Drosophila melanogaster: one gene and its partner. The protein of the gene in region 1 interacts with the protein of each later gene in a pairwise test. Each region holds a gene or a part of one and is shown on either strand. Other genes may lie near its edges.

The links. Proteins that work in one complex are often made in the same cells at the same time.
Region 2: the proteins of CG16852 (region 1) and Tsp39D interact in a two-hybrid assay, tested with the Drosophila melanogaster proteins (one large-scale study listed by BioGRID).

What each region holds. Positions count from the first base shown.
Region 1 is NT_033779.5:13,536,816-13,544,317, reverse strand, and holds CG16852 (uncharacterized protein), read right to left. Parts: upstream 3,568-7,502; 5' UTR 3,519-3,567; coding exon 3,254-3,518; intron 3,193-3,253; coding exon 2,744-3,192; 3' UTR 2,672-2,743; downstream 1-2,671. Other genes in the region: CG16853 (uncharacterized protein), read right to left, coding at 761-1,666; CG9263 (uncharacterized protein), read left to right, coding at 1,850-2,138, 2,327-2,643.
Region 2 is NT_033779.5:21,340,304-21,349,302, reverse strand, and holds the start of Tsp39D (tetraspanin 39D), read right to left. Parts: upstream 4,697-8,999; 5' UTR 4,567-4,696; intron 1-4,566. Other genes in the region: dimm (dimmed), read right to left, coding at 8,956-8,999.

The DNA of each region.
Region 1 (7,502 bases):
CCCCCCTCCACCCTGCTGGGCTTCGTTTTGGCCGGGCCGGGCCTGGCTGGCATTGCCTATATTAACAATAATTCCTTTGTACCCGGGCATCTTGCCAAAAAGTTGGCGACCGCCCTGCTCCTGGCACAGCAGGCGACGAACGTTTTGTGGCCAATTTCCCGTACCCAGAGGCCGACTTTTTGTGTGACCCATTGTCAAGTCAAGTCAAGCCGGACAAGGTCTATCCTCGCTCCATCCACTCATGCACCATTCTGCCACCCGCTATACAGAGCGACTTTTGTCTAGAGTTAAACTCAAAAAAAAATATATAAAAAAAATCAAGAAAAAGTTGGCGAAGAAAGGCAGTACCATTGCGGCAGCGGCGTAAGCGAACTGCAAACTTTGGAGTCCATGACAACCAGTAAAACTGCTGAAAGACCATTGATTGAACCTGGTCATGCGGTTTGCTTGCATTTCCAAAGTTTCGCAACCCGACTTTGTTTGAGGCAGCTTAAAAATAAACAGAACATGTATTTTAAATCTAAGGATATCGTTCATGCGGACGGACATGGCTAGATCAACTCGGCTAGGGATCCTGATCAAGAATATACCCAAAGGTGTTACTCGTATACAAAAAAGTCTTTGTTAAAATTAAACTATAATACAAGTTTTTACAAATTCAATAAGAATTCGATCACTATTTTTAACAGAACATTATATCACACATTTAAGATGTAAGCTAAAGAACCCGCACCAAAATAAAACTCAAGTTCCAATTAGATTAGAGAAGCTTTTGTTGGCTGCTATTATAGATGTAGTAGTACCCTCCGTTGAATCGCAGTGTGGCAAGTTCATAGCGCATGGTGCCGCTCACCGGATTGGCCACCACTCGCACCGGCGACGAGGAGAAGGTAAGAGTGCGGTAGAAGAAGGCAGTCAGGAAGCTGGCACTGATCACAAAGGCCACAAAAAAACCCAGACAGAAGACACAATCCTTGTTCACTTGCAGACAAAGACAAAAGGCTGCCACAAAATCACAGATGGAGCGTCCAATTCGCGCGCAGATCGTTTGACGAAGCTGGCGAGGATTGCCCGGCAGATTGTTGCCACTAATCGTGAATGTGTGCAGCGTGCGTTCGCAGGGCGGTGGATTCGGATCTGGTCTCAGGTCGGTCAGATCCAAACGCAATCGCTGCGACTGCGATGGCAACTCAGCGGTCTGGGTTCCCAGTTCGCGATATTTTGGAATTTGGACAATCACTGCCGGCTGGAGTTGCTCCCGGCCCTCCATTGCATCAGGAATCTCGCGTGAGAAGCGACAGATTACTTCCAATACATTGTGCAACTGCTTAGGAGATCCTGGCATTTTTGAAATACCTGTCTTGGTCTGGTGACCCTGATCATCTTCTGATTTCTGACCCTTAACTGCGGACTGAGCACTCGTGCTCGGCTCATCATCCAGCTCTGAAATCACCCGATTGTTCTCCAACCGATCCGCATTCGAAAGATGCTCCTGTGGGTCGAGTTGTGCAGAAGCCTCCGTCTCTGTGGCGCCTAAATTCGCATCTTTTAGATACACAACATGACCATGTTCAACGGCGGGTGGCATATATATTATAACTTGACGTTGAGAATCCGGGGATGACGACCTCTTGTCCTCATCGTTCTTATCCATATGATTATCCATTGCGTTGTGTTGAAAACTGGGAATTTTTTTGACCAGCTAATACAAAATTTGAGTGATAAATTCAGTTCCGGTGTGATAGTTGTCAACATCGTTTTGTATATGCCGAAATTATGTTGACTTCAGTAGCTTGTAAGACATTTTTCGATACTTTTCCAAATTTGATCTGTGGACGCTGTAAACTTAATGGCGTGCAGGGAGCCACCGCAGACTGCGATCGTCATTAACTTGCTAATTGGCGATTTGGTTCAGGATGCCGTTAACGAGCCCCGCAAACTGTCCGAGCAGAAGAACACCTGCCAGCGGCTCTTCGATATTTTGGGCTTTCAAGCCGACGAATGTTTTGAGGATTTGGAAGATAGTGATCCGGCTGCAACACACAGCTCGATCACCGTACGCACCAATTCAAAATCGAATCTAGGCGGAGCAAACAAACGGAATTGGTACGGATGGATGTCCAAGGCATTGGCGGAAGGTAAAAAATATCAAAATAATGCATAAACCAATCTATAAAAAAAAGATAGGAACTGTCTCTTGGAGTTGTCCTTGAAAACTCTGAAAAATAACACTACTGTCATAAATCCATAAACAGTTTCATTTTGGTGAAACCAGATGTCACCCGCATTTATTTAGTATAGTTACTATAACTGTATCAACCCGCAGAAAATTCGGAAGACGATGTTGAGATCTTCAGGAAGAAGGATAGCGATGTGCTCAAGGACATCCACTCGATCGGCGTGCAGACGGAACAGCCGCGCCGGCGCATTAGAGTTTGTCCTGTGGACTTTGCCCCGGCTTTGGCACCCTGCGAATCGACACGTCACACGATATTCATCGATGCCGTTTCCATGCAGATTCCAAATGCACTAGGTCGACCACCGCTGGCCGATCGTTTTTGCTATATGCTAACCGATTTCGCTTCGGCACTATATTGTAGTCTCGCCATCATGTGTTGTTGCACACCCAATATGTTGAGATAAATTAGAATGCGCAATGCTGGTTGGAACTCTGTTCTGCTAATTCTGTTTACTGCATTTTTACTCATACAATCACGTGCAAAACGAATCATTCTTATTACAATTATTTGGACGGCATGCCGACATTGGTCTGCAAGTTGCCATAAAAGTGGCTTAGTAAGAGGTAAAGGCACCACAGGCACAGGACAATGAAGAGTGCCACTGTTAAATTCTCGCCGATTATAGAGGCGAATGCGACAATCGTATCCGCCGTCTGCACAAGGACCTGCCACATCCTTTGGTGCAGTGGGGGTCTTTGCATAGCCGTGGCCGATGTCACCGACTCCACCTCGATGTGGATCGTGTGCTGCTGGATCTTGCTGGGCTTGTCCGTTTCGAGATCGATACCACCGCCGCGTACAGCCGCCAGCTTCGCCTCCAAATCCTTGCTATTCATATTACTCTCGTCCGCTGCTGTCCACGAAGTCTGACTACTCACCTCGCAGGTGGGCTTGATTGTGACATCCGATAGCCGCGAAAGACTCGATGATCTATGCTCCACGATTTGATCTTCTGTTAAGATATCAAAGGCTGTTAGCCCTTCAATAAGAACGGAATTATACATTTATCTTACCTTGCTTAATAGCTAACTCTTCGGATCGGAATCGCTTCATGCGGCTTGTTTGTCCATATTCACTCTTTGGGAGCTTGATGTATTCCTCAAACAAATTGCACTTGCTGATCTGCCTGTGGGTTAGTTGGTCCCTTGGAATCTGAACATCTTTGTGCTCAGCATTCCAGCCAATAGATGGCGCTCTGATGCTATCATCCACTCTTTTTTCTGCTTGTGCAGTTATAGAGATATCGTCTCCAGAAGTGTCACTTTTTGAACTAAGCATGTAGAGTTCTTCTAGTCGCTCCTTGCCTTTGTGATTCAATATGTTTTTCGTGTGAAAATCATGAGTGTGAGTTAAATTTATTTTCTACCATTTCTGTCATTTAAAATCAGTCTGGCTAAAAATTCGTAGCAAAGGGTTGCTTTATCATCTGCCTCAAACGACCATGGCAGACCGGCAATTGAGCCTCGTTGGCCAGTGGATAATTTTTGCGCTAAATTAAGCAATTTCCTTTCCTGTCTGGCCGGGCAAAACCAGAAGCTGCTGTCCATCGACACTTCAGGGTCGACTGTCGTCTATGGATTTTCCTGTCTAATATGACAATTATGACGGTCTACTGCACTAATGTTATTTTGCATAAGTGCATTTTAGGAACCAAAGCAAAATATAGGGTAGCTCCTTAACTGAGATTTCACTTGCCTGGTGAATTTACTTTCAAAAGACTTTCAAAAAAAGAACCGTCTAAATATGTAATTATTTTAATAATTATTGGAAGTTGCAAGGTCAAAAACATTTACCCCGAAATTTAAGATCAAACAACTACTTTAATATACCAACACAATAAATAAAATAAGATAAAAACTTTTGCTTCAGGCCACACATAAACTGCCATTTTATTATCTGATATATTTTTTTGTGCACATTCGCTTTAGATCAAAATTCATCCCCCAGATTTAAACCACAATTTCCGTTCAATGGCAAAAAGCTGTCTCCGTATATTTCATAATTTGTTCGAGGGAAACTTTTCGATGAAACTCTATTAAAGCAGAGGGGACATAATAAATTCATGGAATATCTCGACTTGTCCGGGTGCTACGTACATACATGTGGCATGTGGCAAGCAAGTACGCACATTTGCAGTGTGGAAATCAAAATCCAAGGGGCTTGGATGTGGAACTTTTCTCGTTGCTGTCCTATAGTAGAGTAAGTCCTTTGGTGTCCAGTGCGCACCTGCTACTCAGTGGTCGTGTTTTTTATTCGTTGGCTTGTTGAGGGAACAGAGGTGGAAGGAATGGTTCTTTTGGTCCGGCCATTGTTATCATTTAAAAGGCTTAAGTGCGCCGAAGATTTATATTTATATATATTTGAAAGAAGGGGAATGAAACGACAGCAGACGCTGCGACGAGAAAATAAGATAAACGTACACGTTATTGATTTTCCACTCGCATGTGCCGGCCAGTGTGTTTGCCTTTGGATGATGCTGTTGCCATGGACTGCATCTCCCTGCTTTGCCGCTGCTTCCGCTTTTCCCCCTTTGTGGCGCAGTTTTGTCGCCTGTCCAAAAAATTGAATTCAGGGCGCGGGAAGATGGGGGGCATGGTGTTTACGTGGGCTGTGTGGACTGTGGGTGCTACGGAGTGGGCTTAACTGGGCAGCCAACGCCTGCGCTTGATTCATCTGCCAGTTGATTGGTGTTTGTGCGAAAGTGTTGAAGCAGAACAACTGGGATTGAGTGGCCACCATCCTTTATCCGCCAGCTCGCAGCTCCCAATTCGCCCCTTCGGCGGCATGATGTTAAGCTTTATTTGTGTTGCCTACTTTGAGGCGGCACCGAGGGGCACGCAAATCGATCGTGCTGTCCGTCTCATATAATGGATTTAAACAAAGCCAATTTCGTGAATGCATTTCGTGGGCAAATCCATTCGATTATAAATTAACATTTTTACAAAAAGCGTTTTAAAGCTGGCCACAACAACAGATGTAAAATCATTTAATCATTATTACGTTAGGTAAAGAATAAAAGACCATAGACATATATTAATGTTCATAAATATTTAATGAAAATCATTTCATAATGCTAGGCAAGGATATTAATGTTAAGGATATTTCTTTTACCAAAAGATTCCGTTACGCTTAGGTAAATCCCATAATCTAAAACATGTGTCTCACTAGATTAATTGCTGTTTTCATTTGAAATTATTGTTAATTAAATTCGCACCCTTTGTTGTCACCAGCGCGTTTTTGGCAACCTTCCTGATTACACTGCCTGAAAATGTGTCGGCCTTTTTCTTGGATTTATGAGGTGTGGCTGATTATTTTCGGTGCCGCACGATAACTATATATATATATGAATATATGTACATATATATCGCTCTATATAACCAAATGGTGCAACTGGGCATATATAGTAGGCGTCTAACCGTTGCCAAAAGTTCCAGTCTGCGCTTCGTGCTTGGCCAGCTCGTAAATAATATTTGTTTAGAGATATTTTTGCCTTAATGCTTGTTTGTTTCCTATTACCCTGGGCCAGCTCGTTTATCATCTTGGCCAAAGCCGGCAGTTTCGGATGCAGCAGGAGGAGCAGAAGGAATTGCCACTTGCGCAGCATGCATTCAATTAGCGCCTGGCAAGATGCGGATTTTCGTCGTGTCATATTATTATCATAAAGCTCATAATTTCTTGGCTTGTTATTCAGATGTTGGTCAAGATGTACAGATAGAGCTGGCTTGAAGTTTTGCCTTGTTAAGATAAATCATTAGGTCTTAATAGTTTAAATAGTTCAAAGTTGTATGTTATAGTAAATAAGCTCATAAGCATATAAAACAATTTCAAACACAAATTGATCGTGTTAACTAATACCTTATATTCTTTCCACTAAACACCATGATGTTTTAAAGACTCAGTTTAGTTATAGAATTGCTTTACACCTGCCAAAGGCTTGAAGAGGCTGTCAAAACGTTTGCCACTCTTGTCTACGGCAGGAGGTAAGTAAAATTCCGTGTGAATCCCCAACCAAGGATCCCCGCCGCTTCCCCATCCTTGTGGCAATCAGTAGCTGGCTATTTTCTCACCTGGCCACTTGGCGCTTAGACATGGCCCGCTGCTGGTTAGTTGGCATTTAATGGCATTTGACACTCTTCGCCGTGTCTGTTAGCAAAAACATCACGAGCAAATAGAAAATGGAGAAAGAAAAAACTGATAGGGATAGGGATGTCATATTGTCAAGTAACCAGACCGTGAAATACCTGGTACACAGGTAAAGAATTACTTTTAGTGTTTTAGCATGGAGAGAGCATTCTACAAAAAGCATTAAATGGTGCTGGCCAGGTCAACTTATTTACAATAAGTTAAATTGGCTAAGTAAGCTTAATTCATACCAAAATATAATACGTTTTTAGCTTGCTAATGTTCTTAAAAAAACATAAATGATTAGGCATTTATATTTATTTGATCGAAATGCAATATGCCCGTGAGAACACCGTGCAAAAGACAGGATAAGGGAGAGTAAAATGGAATGGAAATATTGATAGGAAAATCAATAGACGGCGATAAAGGAGATAGAAGGACAGGCAGCAGGCTGCTTGGAGCCGGTCGAGCACTTGCCTAATGAAGTTGTTCCTTAAATCGGCAAAGGCATCGACGAAGGACCACGAAGGACCAGCGAGGAGTAAAAATAAAAAGGAAACGCTTTCTGGGTTCCCCGGACAACGGCAATAACAACATCAATGCACTTAATGCTCTTGTTTGCTTAACTTTATTTGATGTCCTGGCCTTGGTTACTTTTCCCATACCCTGCGCATAACCATATGTACATATAAGCCAAAAGCCACGCAATTTGCCATGGCTTTTGTCTATGCCATATGTACAAATGCAGGAAATGTAATTTGTAGATAGCAGAAAAATTCCGATTAGAAGGCGGCCACTGATTTGCGATTGCTGATTTTATGATTTTATCTACGAAATGCGAGTCTCTCGAATTATTATGATATGTATTATCCCATGTACAGTACAATGTTTTAAATTATTTCTCGTGCTCAATTTGCCTGAATTACATTTTTTTTTTTGTGCAGAGCTCGCAAAGTGTATTCAATTATTCAGGTCTTACGTACTCTAACTTTAGCTGCTGTCCTTCTGGCTGGGCTTGTTATTGTTTTCGAGCGATGACTATGTTGTTTACAAATGAACGCAGCTTACGCAGCACGAATGGCAGCACAAGGACCTTTTTCTGCCAGCCACATGCTGACCACTGGCTCCCAGACAAGAAAA
Region 2 (8,999 bases), 7.8 Mb from region 1:
AAAAATAGTAAGTACATTGAATTTAACTGTGGGGTTGTATCCACGACTTATGTCCCATTTTGATATGGGGAAAATTAGTCTTTATTTGTATATCAAAAGTACAAATAGAATTTTAACTTTGAGAATTGGTCAATTATTGTTATCTCGATCAGATATAAATATAGCTCGAAATTTTAATAGGTCTAAACTGTTGTTAAACATATTTTTACTTGATAGATGAATTCATTATACTCAGTTTACATCGGTTGCAATTTGCAATTTTACAATATTATTACTTATTTTAAGTTTAGGACTGAGTATAATGTGTTAGTTATGAAATGGGTCCCTGATAAGTTAGTAATTTTGTTGCAGCGGAAACCGCATCGACAACATTAATATAATATTTGGGCGGTTGAGGCTATGGCGTATAACGCAGCCCGCCGCTTTACTTCGCACCACGAAGTTGTTGATTGATGGCTGCAAGGCGCTCTTTGTAGCGCTGCCGGTCTTCCTCATTAGTTGCCGTCTTCAGTAGTTCGATGTTGAGCCTCCGGGCGCTGAGCAACTTAATCCGGCGGCCACCCCTCTTCTTTTTAGGTGGCTGCTCCCTCGCTGCAGTCCGTGCCTTGTACTCTTGTATGGTCAAGGGCTTTGGTCCCGCGGACGGATCTACCTCTATTACCTCTTTGATACTTGGCAGATCCCTTTGCTCGACAGGAGCAGGGTGTTCGAACGTCTGCTTGGTAGACATTCGCTGTTGTCATGTGCGGCGCGCCGGTGGAATCCTTTATCCTTTATCCTAATCCTACCCTCGCAGGATGCCGTGCTAATTGCTGTTGCGGCTTACAATGGTCGAGGGCAGTCGTTCATGCAGACGTCGGGTCTTTTCGGCTTGGGTGATGTTGAATTTTCAGTTATTTCTTCATTGATTATTTCTATTTTTGCTGAGTGAGTTGTGGTATTCGGCTTTCTTTGCTGGAGGTTTTCTTTCAGAAAGTCTAATTCGGCAGTTAATTTCTGTGCCGTTGCCCATGGGGGCGGTGTTTTATTTGTATATCATAGCCACTTAATATGTGCTATACCTTTATTTTTGATTTCCTGACATCCGCGTTTGCCCATTACCACACTCTACTCACTCAGTATTTTTGTTTCTTTTTTTTTTTCATCAGTGTCCCGTCTCTAGGTCTCCCGCACTGGTGTAAGGGGCGGCCTGCCTCTCACACCTGTTGTCGCTGTTTAGAATTCCCAAATCAAATCGGCAATATTAGCAGCATTTCCTCAGTAGTCCTCAGATCGCAGGCTCCTGCCTCACGGTCGCCATGTAATAAACCAATATATGCCACCAATTGAGAACACGTGTTTTCCTTGCAGTTGGGTGCAGCCGTCAGGCCACCTTTTTATTTCTTCTTATCTCTTCGAGTAGCAGAAACGGTTCTGCCCGCTTAACCTCTACAGAGTGTCTAATCTTACCTAAATACTGCGACTGCGCCGCCGTCGACAGCGGCAGAAGAGCAGCGTATATATATATGTATAAGAGAGAGAGAGAGAGAGCTTATGCGCATATATGGCCAGCGGCCAGCGTGGGGATGCTGACTTAGCTTAAAGCATAAATGGGTGATCTTATATCACGCTCACTTGAGACATTTATTTATGCAATGCAACTAAGTGTTGCTGTGTACTTATAGGTACAGTGTACCCTCGATATATGCACATACTACATGCTATAAGACGCGAAGAAAAATAAACCAACTGCCTAACGCTATTTAAGCTCGTATACGTTTAGTATTCATTTTTATCCGTACTCTGTTAAAGTGATAATCATAGAACAAGATTCAAACACACCGGTCTTTTCATTATTCCTGTATGTTATTCTGTATGTGTAAGCTATTCCCGGCTAACGATATGGATTTCCTGTATTGAAGAAGTTTTAAAAACTTTTTTCCGGAGTTATTTCAATGTACAACTTTACCGAACCTTTACAATGTCAACTATTACGAGTATATACAAAATACATTAATTTAAACAAATTTTGCATTAAAAAACTGTTAAATGAATTTAAAAAGCAAGAATGAACGAGTTCCTCGAATATCAGATACCCGTTACTCAGCTTAAGCATTTAACATCCTTGTTGGCATATCGATAGAATTTGGAAAGAAAAGACTATTAAAAATATGAAAAAAGATCGAAATATTTTCCAAAAGTGGGTTCGCGACAGGATTCGGCGGGTTTTGTGCGTTAGAGTGGGCATTGCAAAAAGTTTTTTATCAAATCGACAGAAATTTACAAAACTAACAAGAGAGAATGCGAGAATAGTCGAGTTCCCCGACTATCAGATACCCGTTACTCAGCTAGTGTGAATGAGAACGCGAAAGTATCATTTATTTTGGGATATCAAGAGATATTGGGAAATAAAATGAAAAAAAATTTAAAAATTGTTCAAAAGTGTGGGCGTGACCGGTTGTGCGGTTTGAGTGGGCGTGGCAAAAACGTTTTTGGCAAAATCGATAAAATTTACAAGACTAATACATATGTGAACAAATATCAACACATTTTTCAAAAGTGTAGGCGTGGCGTTAGAGTGAGTGTGGCAACATGGGTCAAACTTGCGCTCCGTCTATGTTTCTAGAATCTGTATGCCTTTTAGCTTTTATAGTTCCTGAGGTCTCGACTTTCATGTCCAGATTGACTCGGCTATGGATCCTGATCAAGGATATATATACTTGATTTGGTCGGAAACACTTTTCAACGAATCTAGTATCACCTTTTAATCTGAGTAACGGGTATAAAAATAGGAAAATATATCAAAACAAACAGTGGGCGTACCGGTTTTGGGTGATTTGAAATAAACTTGCACTGCGCCTATGTCTCTAGAATCTTTATGCTTAATCTCAACCTTCTAGCTTTTATAGTTTTTGAGATCTCGGCGTTCATATGGACGCATAGACATTCGAGCAGACAGACAGGGACATATAGACTCGGCTATTGATCCTGATCATAACCTTTGACTCTACGAGTAACGGATATATAAATATCAACACATTTTCCAATGGTGTGGGCGTGGCAGCTTTGGCAGGGTTTGTGGGCGTAGCAACATGAGTAAACAAACTATGCCTCTGAAATCTATATGCTTAATCTCAATATTGTAGGTTTTATAGTTCCTCAGATCTCCACCTTCATACGGACGGACATGGAGAACGAAAACTAGGAAGGACAGGAATACATATGTACATACATACATATGTATGTATATTGCGCTTGCTGTAATAGTTGTGTAGTTTGAATGAGTTTGAACTCTGCACTGAAATAGGTCGGTTTTTAAATTATTAGTGCCACCCCACCACCAGCAATAGGCCAAGTATCGGCATTCAAAGCAATGGGAAAGGAATAGAAGACAAAATCGATAGCTTAGAAATAGTGTCAGCTGCGTAAAAAGTGGCTACACCTGCCACACGGATGACAATGTAGGGTAAAATACACACGTCAGCCGTATATTTCTTAGTACTGCGTAATAAACCAGTTTGGATATACGTATGTGTTAAGTGTTAATACATACAGAAATACTTTATAAGGTGGAAAAAGCGTTCTTCTACCTGTAACATCCTTTTAAGTGAATTCTTACTCTACGATTACCGACCATTTCTAATACTTTTTAAATACTTTAGCTTGCAGAAGCAAGCATCCATGTTTATTATTATATTATTATATTTAATATTGCTACTACATTGTACAGTGTTTGGTAGTGTTCCCATTGCTGAGTTAATAGTTCCTTAATTGATTTGCGCCCAGGTACCAGACGACCGAATTTGGAGAGCAGTTTTACGGTCCTGTCAGACTTATTTATATTAAACCGTTTTTAGTTTAAGCAAAATATGAGTTTATGTTACCTTGAAATTAAACGATTAGTTTGATTAAACCTAACCATTTATCTCTAACAAAGTTAGCTATTTATTTGAGACGACAACCAAATCCTGACTCCTTGACGAATAGTGCGCTAGTGCGATCTGGCCACTGTGCGTAACTGGTGGTTCCCGCTCTCACCAATTGTCATATTCATACACGTGTATTAACATATGAATCAATGTCCGCCTAGCGGCTTTATTGAGAGGATTTCCCCATGTCCAGCTGCATGTGTGCATAATGATGCTTCTGGTTGATGGTTGCGTGCCGTCGCCTACTTCCGGAACCCGCTTGTAGGCGGGTGGCGGATATATATAGGCATTACCCACACTTCACGAGCTTTTGACTGACCGTTTGTGTATCTCCAATTAGGCGCATCCCAGCACCTGGAGCACCATCCACTACGACTTGGAGCAACTTCGCGAGGCATGTATCACACCGGACCGCAGCTCCTGCTTGCCGCAAGCACGCAAACTAGTCAACAGAATCACTCTCCACACTCTAGATCTCAGGTAGCACAGGGAGAAGTGCATATTGTTCGGTCGCATCCCTCACTTAAACCACTTTCCACTCTCCCACCAACATACATACACACAATTACTCCTCTAGGGCAATACTAATACCAATTTGTATGGCGCAAGGGACCGCATCATCTATTGCAGCTGATTGGTTTCACCCAAATATTTATACCTTTCAAATTTAGGACCAGGACGCAACGGTTCGCTTGATTAACTCGCACCCGCGCTCTAATCAGAACAACAGCACTTTCGATGGATGTTTTCAAGTGAGACTTGACAAACAGTAGAGCTACGATGTGATAATTCCAACGGAGGTATCGATAGCGCATGGTCATCGATACCTCACGCCAATCAACGATTGCTGAATGACTCCACTATTTGTTATCTTATCCCGGTGCTGGAAACATTATTTCAAGAAAATCAATTTTGGTTAATTTTCTTTTTATTACGTGTTGATGCTAGAACCGCTTTTTCCCCTCTCAGCAATAAATCTTGTATTGCCGAATACAAACGCTATTTTAATGTTGGTCTTTTCGTAATTATGTTTAATATGAATGTTCAGTAGCAATTGCAGGTGATTTTGAGTTGCCATACCAACATCTACACAGTTCGGGAGCTGCCATACTGCAGTATACAGAAGTCGGGAGTTGCCATAATTTTTTACTAAAGTAGACTGGATTCGAATCGTAGATAAAAATTGTATAACCCAGATTGATTATAAAAGAAGCAATGTTAAGTTTAGCTAAAAGGAGATTCGATTACTGTCATAAAACTATGTTTGTAGTGAAAATTAAAACAGGATTGTATTCAATTTTTGCATATACATAAGTCCCTGATGACATCAAATGAAATGCCAAGAAAACGAATGCAGTCGGACATAGGCATATAGAGTCGTCTGGAGATTCCGATCAAGAAAAGAGAATCAGGAACATTTACATGATATATATACCTTCCTCCCATTAGATAAATCCTCTTCGCTTTCGCGGTGGTTTATGAAATATATATAACTTAGCACGTTCTCTACTCAACAACGCTTTAAAAAATTTCCACCGTGTTTTAGCTCTCCTTTTGCTTTTGATTTAGCCCTTAAACCAACCTTCTTGGCAAGAATAAGGTGGAATCGGTTTATGTTATATTACACGTTACACGTTACACGTGGGCTTGGAAATTTTGTGATTCTTGTGGGCGTGGCAACACGGACATGGCTAGATCAACTCGGCTTTTGATCTTGATCAAGAATATATATAAATTATATAGTCGGAAACGCTTCCTTCTGCCTGTTACATACTTTTCAACCAATATTGTATACCCATTTACTCTACGAGTAATGGGTAAAATAGAAGTGAACCATTGTTGAATGGTTTTAAATTAAAAACCTAATGATATTATAAATACATTTTGCCCATTAAAAGAGTATATCATAGGATTTTTTCTGTATTCATACCAGGACTTTGAAAAATTTGATGCTTGGGGATGAAAAGTGGTAAAAGTGTAAAAGGATATATGTAAACAAGAGAAAATGTTATACTCGATTTCCCGCTCATCAGATACCCTTTACTCGGCTAGTGGAAATTCGATCGCCAAATTTTATAATTTTTCCAGGATATCGATTGATTTTGGTGAATAAAATGAGAAAAAATTTAAAAATTATTGGCGTGACAGTTTTGTTCGTTTTGTAGGTGAAAGAAGGGTCGTGGCCACATTGTTTTGTATACCGATAAAACTTGGCAAGACAAATAATAAAACGGAAAATTCTAAAAATATTTTAAAAGTGTAGGTGTGGCAGTTTTGGGCGGTCTTTGGACGTTGAAGTAGGCGAGGCAAAAAGTTTTTTGGCAAATCCATAGTAATTTACAAGACTAATAAAAATATGAAGAATTATCACAGAATTTTTCAAAAGTGTTGGAGTTCCGGTTTATTCTTTACTTTATTAAATAATCTTTGCTTTAAACGTGAGAATGTATACATATTATATTATTATATTATGTATACATATTACAGATTCCATATAATTATGAATTTGTTATTTTTATCATTACTTATTTAAATATTCATATACTTTTCTTCACTTGTACTAAGCAAATGCTCTTCAAAATAGGCTTCTCATATAATTTACAGCACTGGGAAAACGTTTCTAATTTTTGAATTAATATTTGATCCTTTGGGGTATTTCTATATAACATTAAATATATTATATGAGTCTCTTCCTGTTCATTTACATTGCACACCTATGGAGCTACACATCTATATTGCGAGTTTTATTTACGAATATATTTCGTCCTACTTTGCGTATATTTAGCACAATCGTAACAGAATTTTTAATGTTCTCCAATCTGTACGATTAAAAAGCACTTCGCTTAAGAATATTGCTATATAGACCCCGCTCAGAATTAATTTCGATATCTTCGCTTAATTGCAGATTTTCAGCTATTCCTTCTAGGCTTTTCACTTAAGTATAAAACATATCTGTATGTATATACATAAATGTATTTATATGCGAAATTCACCAAAAATAAACTTGTTTTTTCTTGGTAACAGTACTCTACTGTCTCAATTATCTACCGGTAACATTTAACCACTTCAGTTAAACACAGGTACATCGATTGCAAATTGAATAAAAAATAAAAAAGAATAATTGTACAATAGAAAGGATTCCCGAGGAAGTGAAAAGTTTTATTAGAACTTGCATTAGAACTTTTTCCGAAATGTTGTGTTTAAACAAACACACTGACACGCGGGCTTGATTGACAGAGAAGGTTTTGAAACTCAGTTCAGAATCTTGCACTGCTTCGAACAAATCGATGTTTTGGAGTTTGTGGAAGAGCTTAACATCCTGCGACCTACCCAAAATACGAAATCCTGACTAATCAAACATAATAAACAAGCTTAACTCGACACCGAAGAGGAGAGAGTTCCCCCAACTACAATTTTTTACTTAATTATTGCTAAGACCCCAGCCACCCTCACTCACTCACACTTACAAGCCCCCTCTCGTCGCATCAGCCGACTTCACCACCCACTGAGCACCGTTATTTTATTACTGTTTACCGTCCGAGCGTTACTATCGACGTCCCTTTCCCGCGTACAGAGTCTTAAGTCTGGCGACCCATAACGGAAATGTGCCAATTTTAGTTTCGGTACGTTAATTGTTTTCCTGTCCGCCCACACACCCCTCTTACCACGTTTTCTACTCTTGCATCCAATGGAAGGTTTCAAGTGCATTAAAAAGATCATGGGTGGTAAATTAACTTATTGGGGCGTCACTTTGTAGACCGTCGTTCCTCAGACGGCAGGACCGCTAGTTAACGGTAATTGATTCAATGTTTTTGCTGCTATTACAAACAATTATATGTATTTATGCACACTATATACAGTAAGTCCTATGATATACATACATACAGAATGTCATATCGTTTCAAAATTAGGGTTGTAAATTAAAAAAGACTTTAACAAAAGAACTAAGGTGATAAAGCGCTCTTAGCTTTAGTATTTTGCATGAATGTATAAATTGCGATATACATACATACAAAGATACATTGATATATAGGCGCATAGCTAATTATCTAAGATCGATCTGGATATAAGTTTATACATACATATATACAAAACTTGAACCATAACTTTAAGTACAATCGAATGTTAGCCTTCTTCATGGTTCTCTTTCGGAAAAAAGTGCACGTGAAATTAAGCTTACGACTAAGTTTCGCTAATTATAGGCTTCCGTAACTTATAAATAGTTGTAGGTCTTATCTAAAGTATACGTATTTCTTGATATTTAACAGATATATTTTTAGTAGCCGGTTTTTTTCATTTTAATTATCAAAAATGTGCCTAAACTTTCAGAAGATCATTAAAACATATACTAAGCTCATCAAAATATTTGTAATCCACTTCGTTAATCTATCTGTTTATGTTTTAAAGTATTTTATTTAGCTTGCTAATACCAATTTGTATAATTAGACCAATAAGTTATTCATATTTCATGGCATGTAATGAACAAGAAAAGGACCCACGTGTGCAATCTAAGGCAGTCCTGCTTGCTAAAGCAGTCGATTTCCTTGGTGCTTCCTACATCAGTCAATTTACTGCTTGCAAATGTCCTTTTCTCTAGAACTACGTTTATTTATGTCGCGGCACTCAAGTATGGCGTACTTGCAACAAATTTAGAAGAATCATTTTGAAAAGTGAAGCTCATTCTTTACTTCTGTCATGTTTTGAGTTTCTCCCGAAACCAAAGTCATGTGTTCTTCCTATATTCGCCCAGTAAATCTATATCAATATAGATTTCATAGGATCGAACATGCTCTTTTACAAGTTTACAATTATATGACCAAAATTATAAAACTAATTAAATTAAATATTTTCTGGTTAAGTTTATTGCAGAAATCTTCCATAAATGACCATTTTATGAAAGCATAATAACTAACAAGGTTTCGAACACTCAAGCCGGTGAATCGACCGCACTGGGGTTCATAAATATCGTTTTTGAGCGCTATACATGTGTGCAACCATTTTCCAATTGCGGTTTTTACGTTCGCGGAACCACCGCGTTATGGATGGCTTACAGAAACTCTCGAAAGGGCTCGTCGAAATTATCATTGATAT